Alligator mississippiensis: one gene and its partner. The protein of the gene in region 2 interacts with the protein of the main gene of each other region in a pairwise test. Links are inferred from orthologs where the notes say so. Each region holds a gene or a part of one and is shown on either strand. Other genes may lie near its edges.

Evidence for each region.
Region 1: the proteins of ALDOA (region 2) and ENO3 interact in a two-hybrid assay, tested with the Homo sapiens proteins (2 studies listed by BioGRID and IntAct, with this or other methods). The link is inferred for Alligator mississippiensis from reciprocal best matches to the Homo sapiens genes ALDOA and ENO3.

Annotation. Positions count from the first base shown.
Region 1 is NC_081838.1:23,776,129-23,783,716, reverse strand, and holds the start of ENO3 (beta-enolase), read left to right. Parts: upstream 1-4,450; 5' UTR 4,451-4,469; intron 4,470-6,100; exon of another isoform or gene 6,101-6,180; intron 6,181-6,903; 5' UTR 6,904-6,906; coding exon 6,907-6,991; intron 6,992-7,139; coding exon 7,140-7,235; intron 7,236-7,588. Other genes in the region: PFN1 (profilin-1), read right to left, coding at 93-282, 2,608-2,739. UniProt on the Homo sapiens protein: Glycolytic enzyme that catalyzes the conversion of 2-phosphoglycerate to phosphoenolpyruvate. Appears to have a function in striated muscle development and regeneration.
Region 2 is NC_081830.1:234,064-241,530, forward strand, and holds ALDOA (fructose-bisphosphate aldolase A), read right to left. Parts: upstream 3,176-7,467; 5' UTR 3,073-3,175; intron 2,697-3,072; 5' UTR 2,689-2,696; coding exon 2,577-2,688; intron 2,435-2,576; coding exon 2,223-2,434; intron 2,045-2,222; coding exon 1,990-2,044; intron 1,875-1,989; coding exon 1,714-1,874; intron 1,516-1,713; coding exon 1,432-1,515; intron 1,272-1,431; coding exon 1,097-1,271; intron 855-1,096; coding exon 655-854; intron 526-654; coding exon 430-525; 3' UTR 169-429; downstream 1-168. UniProt on the Homo sapiens protein: Catalyzes the reversible conversion of beta-D-fructose 1,6-bisphosphate (FBP) into two triose phosphate and plays a key role in glycolysis and gluconeogenesis. In addition, may also function as scaffolding protein.

The DNA of each region.
Region 1 (7,588 bases), on a different chromosome or scaffold from region 2:
CTGCTTGTGCCCTTCACTCCTGACCCCCGGCCCATACCTCCACCAGTCCCACCCCGCTGCCCCTCAACTCCCACCCCGCAGTCCAGGCTCACTCTTGTGGGTGGTGGCAACAGTGACGTTGAAGGTGGGGCCGCCGGGGCTCTTGGTGCGCAGGTCCATGGTGAATTCACCATCCACCAAGAGACTGTCGCGGATCACGGAGCACTTCTGCCCCCCCAGCGTTAGCCCGTTCACCAGCAGTGACGCCCGGTCTGGTCCCACCAGCACATTCACCTCAGCCGGCTGCGGGAGGGGGAAGCGGGGTCAGCCATGGGCCCTGGGTGCCCGGATCCCCCCGCTGCTCTCACGCACCAAGAACTCAAGTGCCCGGGCTCCTCCCCGCCCCCCCCCCCCCCCCATGGAGAGCCAGGCATGCGGGCCCCACCCAGAGGCAAGGGTGGAAGCCAGGCATCCCAGCCAGGGAAAGAACCCAGGCCCCACCCAGTGCCAACGGCAGACCTAGGTGTCCAGGTACCCAGTGCTGGGGAGGGAACCCAGGCCTCCGGGCTGCCCCTCCCCCCCAGCTGCTGAGGTCATGGGGGGGGAAGGAGGAAAGAGAGCAGGACTACAACAGCTGGAGCTGAACAGCTGGGCCCAAACAAGTCCCCTATTCTCTGCCCCCATTCCCCTAACACCTGGGGGGGGGGGCAGCAGGAGAGGCTGCATTTGGGGCATATTTCAGCATTAAGAGAAAGTGAAAGAACCCAGGCATCTGGGCTCCACCGGGGTTGGGGGTGGGAGTGGGAGGCAGGAACAAGAACCCAGGCATCCCGGCTCCCAGCAAACTCCCAGCTCTGGGGAAAGAACTCAGGCATCCAGCCTGGGGGGGGCTCAAGCCCACATAAAGGGGGAGAGCTGGGGGCTCCCCAAACCTCCACCTGGGGGGAAAGGGGGGAGGGAGGGGCCTGGCCACACCCAGCTGCAGATTGGGCCCGAAACCCCCAAAAAAGGTCAAAGCTGGGCAGGTGGGCGGGACCCAGGGGATGTGGGGGGGGCTGGGATGCCTGGGTTCTTTCCACCGTGCCCCCCCCTCCCAGGAACCCAGGTGTCCTGAAAGTTGCAGGGGGGGGAGGGGCAGCCAGGCCTAGTAGGGTCATAACCCCCCATCCAAGGAACCCAGGTGTTTGGGAGGGCCAGTCTGGCACCAGGCAGCCCCCCCACCCCTGCCAAGAGACCCAGGTGGGGAGCAGGGAGGGCAGGAATCGGGGAGCAGGAAGTTCCTTAAGGGCCTGGAGGCGGAAGGGAGGATAATTTTTCCTGTTAGTCTGTGGCACCCAGCCCCCCCATACCTCCAGGCCCCCCCCCTCTGCCCCATATACCCCAAACACTCCGCTCTGTGCCCCCAGTATCCTCCATTACTCCTATATGTCCCCAACTACCCTGGTTACCTCAAACACCGCTTCTTGCCCCAGTACACTCCGAAGTACCCCTCCTTTACCCCCAAACACCCCAACTGTCCCTTTAGTCCAATACTCCCAAACACCCCCCTCCTTACCCCAAGTACCCCCCATTCCCCCTAATGCCCTAAGTGACCTCCCTTTATACCCAAATACCCCTTTTGCCCCACATCCCCCCAAATACACCTTTGACCCCCACATCCCCAAACACCTTCCTTTGCCCCTAGTTCCTGCCCTTTCTGTCCCCATTGCCCCCCCAGTGCCCCCATGTTACCCCAGCAGGGTGGGGGGGGGGGGGTTTGGGACACCCCCTCCCCAGACCCTCATGTCACTTCCTGGGGGGAATAGGGGGAGGAGTTTGCAGAGAAACCAGGAAGTGGGGGGGGGGGGTGGCTGCAAGAGGAAGTGGCTTTGGCTTCCTCGGGGGACCGGAAATGGTCCCTGGGGGGCTGCCCCTCCCCCACTTGGGGCCACTTCCGGTCCAGGAACAACCCCTTCCAGGGGCAGATGGGGGGCTGCCTCCCCACCAGAAATAATGCCCAGAAAACTGCCCCCCCCAGGTGAGGGGCTGCCCTGCCCCCACGCACGTGTCTGGGGACCCTGCAGCTTTGCAAGGCGACCGGCCCCCTCCCTTGCTCAGGCATACATACTGCCCGCCAGCCCCCTCGCATGAGCCTGTGGGCCCCAGTTTTTGCTACACAGCCCCTCTTCCCCTTCCCTCCTCACCGCTCGGGCTCCCACCCGCTCTGGCATACGTTTTGTCCCCCGCCTAGCAGCCCCCCACGCACGTGCCTGTAAACCCCCCCCCCCGAATTTGCAATTCAGCTCTCCCCTTCCTCCTCCCTCCTGGTGGCCCCCTGACTGCCCCCCTTTGTACCCCCCCCGCAGCATGCATCCCACACCCCATGCACGTGCCTCCGGACCCTCTCGTTTTTGCAATCCCCCCGCCCCCATTTCCTCCTGGCCACCCCCCGCGACGCGCCGCGCTTTTAGCTGCATCCTCCCCCCGCCATGCACGTGCCTGCAGCCCCCCCGGTTTGCAATTCACCCCCTCCTTGCCCTTCCCTCCTGGCAGCCGCCAGCCCCCCCTTCTACCCACACCCCGCTCCAGCCTGTATCCTGCCCCTCCCCCAGCAAAGCCCCCCGTCCACGTGCCCCTACCCCTCCGTACCGTGATGTTGATGAAGGTCTTGCCGGGGGAGGCGGCCCAGACCGACGGGGCGTCCTTGTAGCCCACGATGGCCGCGTCCTGGCACGTCCCGTCCGCCATGAGGCTGTCGATGTAGGAGCTCCACCCGCTCATGGCTGCAGCCGGGGGGGCGCGGGCCGGGGGGCTGCGGGCGGCGACGGCACGAGGACCCGGCGGGGCGGGCGGGAGCAGAGTGCGGGCCGGGCCCCCGCGGCGGCGGCTACATAGGGCCCCCCCCCCGGGGCGGGGCTGGATCCCTCCGCGCCCCCCCCCGCATGCTATCGGGACTTCTTTGCAAAGGGAGGGGGAGCGAAGGGCCCCCCCGTGCAGAGAGAGGGCCCCACCCGTGCAAAGCAAAGTGCCCCCCATGCAAATAGCACGGGGAGCAAAGTGCCCCCCCGTGCAAAGGGAGAGGGAGTAAAGGCCCCCCCGTGTAAAGGGATGGAGAGCAAAGTGCCTCCCTGTGCAAGGCAAAGTGCCTCCCCCCCCCGTGCAAAGAGGGGTGCAAAGACTGGGGTATTGCCACCCTGTAGGGGCGTTGCACTAGCCCCCCTGGGTGATACGTGTGTCCATGGGCATATGTCGCAATGGGTGTGTTGCATGTGCCCAGGGGCATAATACACATGCCTATGGTATTGTTACGGGTACCCATGTGCCAGTGGGTGTTACATGATACGTGTGCCCAAAGGGGTGTTACACATGCTCACATGCAAGTGTGTAAAGACTTACCTGCTGCGTGTTCCTCGGGGGGGGGGGGCTTTGATGATGGGCATGTCACAGGAGGGGGTGATGGGAGCAGTTGTGGCATGCATGAGCACACGCCAGCCCAGCCAGGGGATGCACACACGCGTGTGCACGGCTGTATGCCAGCTGCTGTGACGGGAAGTCGAACACGTGTGTGCACGAGATGTACACGGGAGCTGTGTGTGATGCCCGCAGGGCTGCAAGAAGATCACACGCTCACCTGCACGTGTGGGCCAGCCCCACGTGGGTGGAGACACACATGCCTGGATGCACACACGTGCAACATGCTTGCCTCCTGGTGCTGTGTGCAACACACGTGTGCCCCCCTCCGTTGTGCACCATGCAGCCCCCAGAACACACACCCAACATGGGGGGCAGATGCGCACACACATGTGCAACTGCACTTCCATGTCCAATCTCACCCAGAGGGCACAGATGTGTACACAGGTGTGCAATGGCACACACAAGAGCAATCCTACATGGGGCAGACATGTGCACACGCGTGTGCAACTGCACACACACACATGCAATCCCACATGGAGGAGGGGCTGGCCCCTCTCTGCCTGGGACAGGGGGGCGGGGCTCCGGCGGGCCCGGCGCGCTCCCATTGGCTGGCCCCGCCCTGACACGTCACTGCCGGGAGGGGACTACTTTTGCCGGCGGAGGAACACCGATAAAAAAACTTTCTACCGCTACAAAAACTTTTCCAGGGCGGGAGGGGAAGACGTCATTTCCTGTCTGGACCCCCCCCCCCGCAGCCAATTCTGGGGTGGGGCCGGACGGGGTGGACTCCCCCCTCCCCCCATCCGGGTCCTCCCCCCCACGAGAGAACCCAGGGTCCGGCGGCCCCGGCGGGGGGGCGGGCAGGAAGTGTGTGATACAACCGGTGTCTGTAGCAACCTCGGGGGGAGGGGGAGGGGGAGGGGGAGGGGGCCCCGGGGCATTGTGGGTAGCAAGGGATGGGGGGAATTGGCGGGAGCCCCGGGGCATTGTGGGTAGCGGTGCCGGGGCACAGGGGGTTGTGGGTAACAAGGATTGGGGGGCTTGCTAGGAGCCCCAGGGCACTCTGGGTAGGGGAGACAGGCCCCAGGGTGTTGTGGGTAGGTAGTGCCAGGCCCCAGGTCCTTGTGGGTGTGGGGGGACCGCAGCACAGAGCAGTGTGGGAAGGATTTGGGGCGGCTTGGTGGGAGCCCTAGGACATTCTGGGTAGCAAATGCCAGGACCCAGGATAGGGGGCTTCCCAAGGATGGGGGCTTGGCGGGAGCCCCAGGGCATTGTGGGAAGCCGACAGGCCCGTTGGGGGCGGAGCCATGACTCACGCGTGTGGCGGCGCCGGGCGGCTCCAGACACCGTGACACGCGCGTGCCCCAGGGCGGCGCCCTCCCCCCCCCCGCCTGGACGCGTGGGTTCCCCGCCTGCTCTGGGGCACGCCTGGTTCTCTCCAGCTCCGGGCAAGCCTGGGTGCCGGGACACCTGGGTTCACAGCCCAAAACAGGCCACGGAGCCTCTACTGTGCCCCGCCCTCGGGCTCTCCCTCGCCTCCCTGGGTCCCCAGGGGAGACCCAGGACTGACCCCCGGATCGTGCCCTGGGCCCCTGCTCCCTTGGGACAGCAGGGAGTGATCCCGCCTGCAGCCACCAGGGGGCCCGTGACCAACCCCCCCCCCACCAACCCGGGCCTGGCTCCCTGCCCCTCCTGCTCTCACCCCCCAGAGAAGCAAGGTGTCCGAGCTCTGAGCCCCCCTTTCCCCTGGAAGTGAAGCCAGGTGTCTGGGCTACCCCAGGGCCCTTCCCTACAGAGAACCCCGGTGCCCCAGCTCCCACCCCCTGCTCTCACCTTTCCCCGCCACATACTCCCAGAGAACCCGCGTCTCTGGGACCCCGACCACCCGGGTGTCCGAGCTCCCGCCCCGTGCTCTTACCATTACCTCCCCCCACAACGAACCCAGATGCCTGAGCCCCAAAGCCCCCCCCACCCCGCATGAGAACCCAAGTGTCCTGACCTCTCCATGGGGGCTGCCTTGAGTTCTCCCTGGGAGCACCCCCCCCATATCCCATCAGCCCCCACTCTGGGGGTCAGGTTTCCACTGCCCTTTCCCGGGAATGGGCCCGACCTTTACTGTCCCGGGTGGGTCTAAAGATAGACCGGGGGGGGGGGGGCACAGGGAACCCAGGCGTCCAGAGAGCACACACCCAGAGGACCTGGGTGTCTGGGAGGATGTGGGGGGGCACAAAGACCCCAAGACTTTGGGGCTGGAGGGGGGCACAGAGAACCCAGGTGTCAGGGGCCTGGACCTGGGGTCACATAGGGAGCCAGGTTGGGGGGCCACAGAGAACTCAGGCATCCAGGACCTGCATACATCCAAACCCCAGGTGTCTGGGCCCCCCAGAGAACCCAGGTGTCCAAGACCCACATAAGATCCCAGGCGTCTGGATGGGGCGGGAAACCCAGAGAACCCAGGTGCCCAGGACCAACCTGCAGACATAGAGCCCAGGTGCCCGAGACCTCGCTGGGGGGGCGCAGAACCCAGGTGCCCAGGGAGGGTTGGCAGGTGGGGAAGGTGCAGAGAATCCAGCAGTCTGGATGCTTGGGTTCTTCCCCTGCTGTGGGGGGGCCGCAGCCTTGAAGCTGGATGCCTGGGTTCACCCCCCCATCCCCCTTGCCAGGTGGGGAGGGGCCAAGTTCCAGAGTGGGTGCCAAGGCCCGTCTCAGTGTCATGGCACCGGGGGGGGCGGGGAGATGTGTGGGGCCATATAAAGGACATGACAGCCCTGGCCCCAGCACCCGTCAGCCCGACCCGGAGACACCCCAGTGAGTGGGGCTGTAGTTTGGGAATGAGGGACACAGGCAGGGCTGGGGGAGCAGAGACTGCGGCTTGGGAGTGAGGGGCACTGGAAAGGCTAGGGGGGCAGAGGCTACTGGTCCAGAGTGAGGGGCACTGGCAGGGCTGGGGGGGGGCAGGGGCTGCAGGTCAGAAGTGAGGGGCACTGGCTGGACTGGGGGGCAGGGGGTGCAGGTTGGGAGTGACGGGCACTGGGGGGCCAAGGGCTGGGAGCTGGGAGTGAGGGGCACTGGTGGGGCAGGAGGGACAGGGTTGGGAGTGAAGTGTGCCAGGGGTCTCTGTGGGTTCCTGCCCCCCCACCTTCCATGAAGCTTTGACCTTTGCCTCCCACCCAGTGCTATTTTTATCCCTGGCAGTGGCTCCCAGGCTGGAGGGGGGGGGGGGCACAGGGCCCATCCCCTTCCTTGGGTCCTACAGCCTGGACACCTGCATTCCCCAGGATGGGCCTTGGCTGAGGGGGGGGCAGGTGGCACAGGGCCCAGCCCCTTCCTTGGATACTACAGCCCGGACACCTGCATTCCCCAGGATGGGCCTTGGTAGGCCCAGCTGGGTGCCCAGACACCTGGGTTCTCTGGGAGGGGAGGGGGCTGGGACCTGGGGGGGCTTGGAGCAGGGGGGCTTGGAGCCAGGACACCTGGGTTCCCTCCAGCCACCCTCCTGTTCTCCCGCTCCCCCTCCCCCCCACTCCACAGGCCATGTCCATCCAGAAGATCCATGCCCGTGAGATCCTGGACTCCCGTGGGAACCCCACGGTGGAAGTCGACCTGCACACAGCCAAGGGTGAGTGGGGGCCTGGGGCTTGCGGGTCAGAAGTGAGAGGCACTGGGGGGCAATGGGTCAGAAGTGAAGGGCATCAGCAGAGCTGAGGGGCAGGGGCTGCAGGTTGGGAGTGAGGGGCACCGGGCACCCACATGCCCTTTGCCCCCAGGGCGGTTCCGGGCCGCGGTGCCCAGTGGCGCCTCCACGGGCATCTATGAGGCGCTGGAGCTGCGCGACGGGGACAAGAGCCGGTACCTGGGCAAAGGTGAGCTGGGCAGGGTGGGGTGGGGCCACAGGGGTCATGACTCCCCACAGACCCCCAGGTTGTGTCTTCTGTGGGCAGGTGGGTCAGGTACCCCATGTTAGTGGGACCCAAGGGCATGCTCTGGGCCACCCTGATTGGCTGAGAGAAGTGACTCACCCATTGGTGGACCAGCAGAAGGGGTGGGGCTATGCAACTCACTGGCTGGTAATGAGGGTTGAGTGGCATTATTGACTTCCCTTGGGCAGTCGCTGGGGCCAGATGTTGGCTCATTGGCCAATGGGTTGCCCCCATGGACTCTTCCATTGGCTGGGGGACATGTTGGGTGGTCACTGTGGTCAGCTATTGGTGGCTGG
Region 2 (7,467 bases):
CGGGCAGGGACATGCATTCCCTCTGCTGCGGTCACGTGTGGGGGACACAGGCCAGAACCCTGCCCCCCCCCCACCCTGGCTCCTTTCCCCTCCTGGGGGCCAGAGGGGCCCACGGCCTAGACCCCCGAAACCCGCACCCCCGAGGCCCAGGAGCACAGGACACATATCTTCATGAATTCATTTTATTCAGTAACTCAGTGTAGTTAGGGCCTCGCCCGCCCCCACCCGGAGACCGGGCAGCTGGAGGGGGGGCGGGAGCCGGAAGTGTTGCTCACCAGGGGGAGGGGGAGGGGGGGAGGGGCCGCCCGGAGGCCGGGGTTCTTGTGCCCGCTGGTCTCTGCCCCAGTCGGGTCCAGGTGAATATAGTTGCAGCCCAAGTTGGGAAGGGGATGGGGGAGGGGCGGGGGGCAGGCAGGGTGGAGCCGCAGCCTAGTAGGCATGGTTGGAAACGAAGAGAGACTCCTTGGAGGCAGCACCGGCCTGGCCGCTGCCGGCGTACTTGCCCTGGCAGGCGAGGCTGTTGGCCTGCAGAGAGACGGACAGACAAGACAGGTCAGAGCAGCACAAAAAACCCAGCGTCCAGGCTCCCCTCCCCCACCCCCTCTGCAAGTCAGAGGTCACTCTCCCCCCGCCGCGGGCCAGGTCAGTACGCACCAGAGCGCGCTTGACGTACTCCTCCTGGGCCGCCTTGGTGTTCTCCTTCTTGCCGCCCCAGGCCTTGAGGGCTGAAGCCTGCAGCGCCCGCCCGTAGGAGAAGGTCAGGGCCCAGGGCTTGTGCAGGGGGCACTTGTTGATGGCATTGAGGTTCAGAGACGCCTCCTCCTCGCTCTGCCCCCCGGACAGGAAGGTGATACCTGTGAAGGGGGAGGGAGTCAGTGCCGGCGTGACACAGTGCTCGCGGGGTTAACAGGCTGGGCTGGAGCAGGGGACCCTGGGCATAGGCACAGCACCCAGGGGGTTAATGGGCAAGGGGGTGGAGTCAAGGAGATGGTGGAGCCTCCCCTACCCTGGCTTGCATGCCCAGAGCATGGCTGTCAGGGGTGAGATAGGGAGCAGGGCCACAGGGGGTGAAGCCAGGGGCAGGCCCAGGTCTCACCGGGCACAGCAGGTGGCACGGTGCGGCGCAGCGCGGTGATGGTAGCCATGGCGATCTCCTCATGGCTGTACTTGGTGGTGCAGGCGTGCCCAGGTGTCACCATGTTGGGCTTCAGCAGTGACCCCTCCAGGTAGACATGGTGGTCACTCAGCGCCTTGTACACAGCCGCCAGCACCTGGGGGGGGGCAGGACTGGTCAGCACACCACCCACATCCACTGCTGCATCTTCCCTCCAGCTCCTCCAAGAGGCGGGGCTCCTTCTGGCCACACCCCCCAAAGATCTCCCACCTCCCAGCCTCTGGTAAGTGCCCCCTCACTGCAGTGACCCCTCTCACCTTCTCGGTGACGTGCTGGCAGCGCTTCAGGTCATGGTCGCCATCGGGGAGGATCTCGGGCTCCACGATGGGCACAATGCCGTTCTAGAAGGACATGGGGGGAGGTCGGGATGAGCCTGTTAGCCCTGACCCCAACCCCCAGCCCCACCTACAGCCCCTCTAGCCCCACCTGCTGGCAGATGCTGCCTGTGCCCTTCTGGCTCTGCCCTCAGTCTTAGCCCCACCCCCTGCTAGCTCCTGGGAGAGGAAGTAGCCCTGCCCCCAGCCCTGCCCCACGGCCACCTGCTGGCAGATGCTGGCGTAGCGGGCCAGCACATTGGCATTCTCCAGGATGGCGAGGCGTGAGGGCGTGTGGGGCCCGATCTTGAGCACGCAGCGCCACTTGGCGAAGTCGGCCCCATCCTTCTTGTACTGGGCACAGCGCTCAGAAAGCCCGTCCAGGCCTGGGGAGGGGGATGAGGCTCAGGACCCAGGCATTTGGGGAAAACCCCGCAGACATGCCTGTCCTGCCAGATGCAACCACTCCCAGCCCCGAGACCCTGGTGTCCAGGCACTCACCTTGGGTGGTGGTCTCCCCATCGGTCCCGGCCAGGGCCACCACGCCCTTGTCCACCTGCGGTGGGGGAGAGGGAACCTCATCAGTACTGCCCCGACCCCTGGCCTCCACTCCTCACTCCTGCACCCCAACTACCAGGTTCAAGGTAAAAGCCTCCTGAGACCTCCAACCCCGGCCCCCTCCCCCCCCCCCAATAGTCCCCATGACCACCTTGCCCACCCCCCCGGGGGCCTACCTTGATACCAACAACGCCGCCCTTGGCCTTGATGACCTGGGGGAAGGTGCGCCCATCGTCGGCCTTCTGGTAGAGGGTCTCGTGGAAGAGGATGACGCCGCCAATGCAGGGATCCACGCGCGCGTCGGCCGTGAAGAGCAGCTGCCGGTACCAGCGCCGGTTCTCCTCGGTGTTCTCTGCCCCGATGGAGCTCAGGCGCTTGGCGATGCTGCCTGCAGGGGGGCGGGTGGGGGTTAACACAGGGGGCCCTGCAGTGCCCCGTGCCTCCCACTCCCGCCCCGCAGCCCCCCCCCCCCGTGCCCCACACTCCCGCCCCGCAGCCCCCCCCCCGTGCCCTGCACTCCCGCCCCGCACCGGTGGACTCATCGGCGGCCAGGATGCCCTTGCCGGGCGCCACGATGCGGTGGGCGATGTCCGCCAGCTCCTTCTTCTGCTCGGGCGTCAGGGCCGGGTGCGGGTGCGGCATCTTGGCGGCTGCGGGAGCGCAGGGGTTACGCGCGGGACGTGCGGCGCGCGGCCTTCCGCATGGCCGCTTCCGGCCCCCCCTGGGCGGGACCCGGGCGTCGGGGGGGGGTCGTGGCCGCGGGTGGGGGCAAGTGTCCGGGGGGGTCGTGTGCCCGGGGCGCGGGCGGGACCGAGGGGGCCGGGGCGGGAGGGGGGGCGATGGCAGCCCCCGGGCCCGCGTGCCCGAGCTCCGCGCGGCGGTGCCGGGAGTCAAGGTCGCTCCAAGGGCGGGGGGGGCAGGGAGCCAGGCGCCCGGCCCAGCAGCGCCCCCCCGGCGCTTCCCCCCACCCCGACGCCCCCCCCCCGGCCCGAAGCCCCCCCGGCCCGACGCCCCCCCCAAGCCAACCTGCGGCAGCGGCGGCGGCGGGATCGACTGCGCTGCCGCGTGGGGCTGCGGCGGGCTAGGGGCTGGGGGCGGGGCGCCGCGCCGACGTCACGCGCGGGCGCGGCCGGGGGGCCACGCCCCTGCTGCCCCCGGGGCTGCCCTGGGGCTCCCCCACGCCGTGCCCCGCCCGCGCAGTGACGTCCCGGGGGCGGGGCCTGGGAGGCTCTGGGGTTGCGTCACTGCACCCCCCGGCCCGCCGCGCGTGGGTTTCGCGCTGACCTTTGCGGGGGAAACCCGATCCCCGCCAAGGGCGCCGCGGGGCCCGCGCTCGCGGCCTGCCCCCGCCGCCCCGGCCCCGTGCCCCCGCCGCCCCGCAACGCCCCCACCTACAGCCCCGCTATGGCGCCTGCCCCGCGGCCCCAGGCCGCCCCGGCGCTGCCCCACGTCCGCCCCAACCCCCCTGGACACCGCCCCAGCGCCCTGCAGACAGGGCCCTCCTGCCCGCCCCCCCGTGCCCGAGCACGAGCCCGAGCCCCGCCGTGGGCCGCCCCTCACCTGGCGGGCGGGCGGGCGGGGCAGGGTCTGGTGGCAGTGCCGGGCGGCCGGTGCGGGGGCTGCGGGCGACCCCCTTATATGAGGCCGGGCGGAGGGGGCGGGGCCGCCCGGGGGGGCTCTGACCTTCTCGGCGACCCCTGCCCTTTCACAGCTGCCGCTAAAAATAGCCCCGGGAGAAACTCGACGCCCCTGACATTCAGGGGGGCGGCTCGTGCACAGCCCGCGGCGGGCGGGCGGGCGGGCTGCGTGGGGCGGCCGGGGAAGCACGGCCTTCCCCACGGGCCGGGGCAGCCCGGGAGCGGGCGGCGCGCAGGCCCCCGCGGCACGGCAAGCCGGGCGCTGGTGGAGGACCCGGCGGCCGGTCGCACAGGCGGCGCTTCCCGGGACGGGCGACTGCTTCTCCGGCGGCGGGCGGCGCTGCTCCCCGTCACCCCCCGGCCGCGGTTGAGCCAGGCGCCGGCTTCCAAGTGCGGCCAAGCCGCGCGGGGGAGGTGGTAGCCGTGCTGGCTAAGGACGGGCAGACGAGGGTCTCTGCGTGAATCCCGTGTCTTTCCTTAGACCCACTTAAATAGCTGGAAGAACTTTAAAGCCAGCTTCCGGGCTTAAAAGCCCTTCCTCAGGCCGGCACACGTGCAGATCTTCCTCAGCCTGACCAAGAGTTGTTAAACCCGAAAGCTTGCTTACAAGTTTTTCCAACTATTTAAGTGGGTCTAATGAAAGATGTCAGATCCACGCAGAGAACCTGGTCTTCCAAGCTGTAATACTCTTATTAATATAAATATACGCGAGGAGGAAAGGGGCCGAGCAAGAGCAGCCCCCCAGCGCTGTGCAGCGGGGGTAGTTCAGCGCCCCTTGCTAGTCCTTTACCCGCTGCCCGTAATGTGTGCGCTCCCGGGGTGCCCGCGGGGTCCCAGCACCTCGGCATCGCCACAATGGCAAGTCTGCAAAGCGTTGAGTTTGCTGCCCCTACCCTATGACTTCATTGAACATTTCTCTTTTCCAACCTTGCCAGAGGATAGTCCAGGCGGACGCCCCCGAGCAACATATCCACCGGGCCCGGTTTCATGTCTCCTTTCCTCCCCCCCTCAGAACAGCGCAGCAAGCCTCCGACCAACGAAGGAGAGAACAAAGAAGAACCAGCGTACAGGTACTTTTTAGATTTTCTATAGCTATTTTGTATAGCTAAAGTTTTATAGATTGCTATAGATAGATAGCTTTAGTATGATTATTTATATATAATTCTCCGTACTTTAATTATTCTCTTTTTTAATTTAAATACTTTTTCTTAGTTTGTCTCTTAATTTTGATAAAATATACTGCATTTTCTGTTAATAAAAGTCTTGCAATTTTTTTTGTCCGTGTATATGCGTGTCCTAGGCAGACTGGCATGGCTAATCAGGCCTGTGTGGGGTGGGTTGCCAGACCTGAGGAGCATGCCTGGGGCTGCTTTGTTGGGTGGGGCCGTAGATGGAGTCATGGCATTACTGGAAAGACTTGCAGGGTGGGCTGTTATTGGTGGTCAAATGCTTGTTCCCCCTCCCCCCCAGCCCAATGTACAAGGATCCTGGCAAGCCTGTGGGTGAAGCCGGCATCCTCCCCCCACCACCCCAGCCAGAGGGGCAAGCAGGCATGCGTGGACCGTTAATTAACATATGATCGAGGGCGATTAGCAACTCTTTCTTGTATTATACTGCATGATCTCTGGCATCAATGACGCATGCCCAGAGGCTGGAGGGGCACGGCCACTGCCTGCAGGTGGCAGGGGCATGGTGGCAGGGAGCTCCCACAGGTGGCCGCGGTGGTGATGGCAGTGGAGGGGTGGGGGTGAGTGGTGACCAGCAGTCAGCGATCACTTGCAGATGCTGGTGGCGGCCAACAGTGATCCACGAGCACCCACAGACGCTGCCGGTGGTGTCGACAGCAAGGGTTCAGGGGGCGCACGTGCACCCTCTACGCGTGGCCAATGGTCCCTTGAGGGGGTGTCTCCAGAACCTGGAACACCTTCAAACAGTGTTTCTTCTGCCCATCCATCCCCCTGCTCCCGCTCCACAGCTGACTGCCGGAGCCAGGTAGTGAAAGGTGTTGTGGAGCAACCCATGATGGGACCTTCTCTGTTGTTCTGGTCCTACCGCCACCAGGGGTAGTGTATGTGCTGCCCCCACCACGCTCCTGGTCCATCCGGCACCAGCGCCCCCGCCCCTGCCCGCTGCTGCTGCGCCCACCCCTGTTGCAAGGAAAATCTAATCTGGCCATGTTAAGTTGACCAAACTCCCAGAAGTCTCTTCGAGATGATCCAGTTAAGAATTGGCAATGATTGTGGCCTACTGTTAACCCCAGTATAGCGAATGCCAGGGAACATCTGGAAGAACAGAACCCTAAATCAGGATGAGAACGTGGCGAGTGTTGCCCCCGGCTTCCTTTCACCAGAGACCCCCAAGGAGCGACATGGCCCCTCGTCCGATTTGGTACCAAGTGAACTGTGTTAGTAACCCACAGGCTCATGACAAGTATTCTTCCCTGTAATAGGATCTGGGAAGCAGTTCCTTAGATGGTACAACAGCGACCTTCGGTGGTATCGGCCTCAGACCCTCTGGCGGGCGTGTGGGATGTTAGTGTCTGGATTCCTTGTTACTCCAAGCAAGAAGTCCAAGGTTGCTCCCATCTCCCCAGGGTGGCAACACACACACACACAAGTCTCTGTCCACTACTTTTGTAGCTTGCTCATTTCAAACCGTCCAGTCCTCAAGTTTCTTCCCTCATCTTTGTAGATAAGGTCTTCTGCTATACTTGCTAGTTTTCCTTTGTATTGGGATGGTTTGTTCCTGCTCCCTCAGTTAGGTTTCTTTAAAGTATAGCCAGCTCTCCTGGACTCCTTTCCCCCCAGACTAGCCTCCAGTGGATCCTGCCCCTCTGGCTGTGGTGGTGGGGCGAGGATGCCGGCTTCACCCACAGGCTTGGGCTGGGCAGGAGGGGGGAACAATCCCATTCTGTTTTTTGGTTTCCTTTCCTTTTAGGGAAACTACTGTACCTGGTTAACCCACTGCACCAATCACAGCACTCACTTTTCCCAGTGCCATATAAGGCACTCTGTACAAGTTAATTGCTTAGTTCCAGGAAGGCCTAAAGTTATGCTAAGAGCCTGAGCATAACTCAGTTTGCCCGTTACAGTGACCATTGGGCCTAATTAGTGTGGGAACAGGGAAATATTCCAGGTAAGTCTGTGCTATTATGAAGCTTCCAAAATATCATATAATGAGCTGGGCTAGCATTGATGATGCTGACATCACTAAAGGGTTAAATAGCCTAAGCAAGTGAAATCACCGTTCACTGTCGGCGGTCTGATTCTCCTGCGTGGATTTCTAAGGGAAGACCAAGCAATCGGACTTGGAACAACGGCAACCCGTGAAGCTCGCCCGGCGCGGCCGACTGGGAGCACCGCCTGGGTACCAGCTGTAGCCGGACTGTGATGCGGTGGAGTCACCTTAACACGCTCAGTCTTTGGTAACTGCCTGCTTATATCCTGGCAGTCTCAGTCAAGTTGACTACCTGTATTCTGGCAACCCCAGTGGATGAATTGCTTTGTGTTTAATGGATCGTTTTTTTCAGTCAATTAAGCTTCTGACTGATAATTGGACGAGTGCCGGTCGTTAATTGCATAGTTCTCCTCGCCCCCAGACAAGCAGGGCTCCAGTTTCAGCCCAATAAGCCCAACGCTGAGCATGGAGCACAGCAGCATCTCCAGAATAGTAAGTTTGTAAGAGTGCTAGCCCTGAACACCTCAATATTTCAAACCTTCCTGTTTCTTATAGTTCATATTCCCCTTCCAGTACCTGTTCCCCCGCCCGCTGCGCCCACCACCGC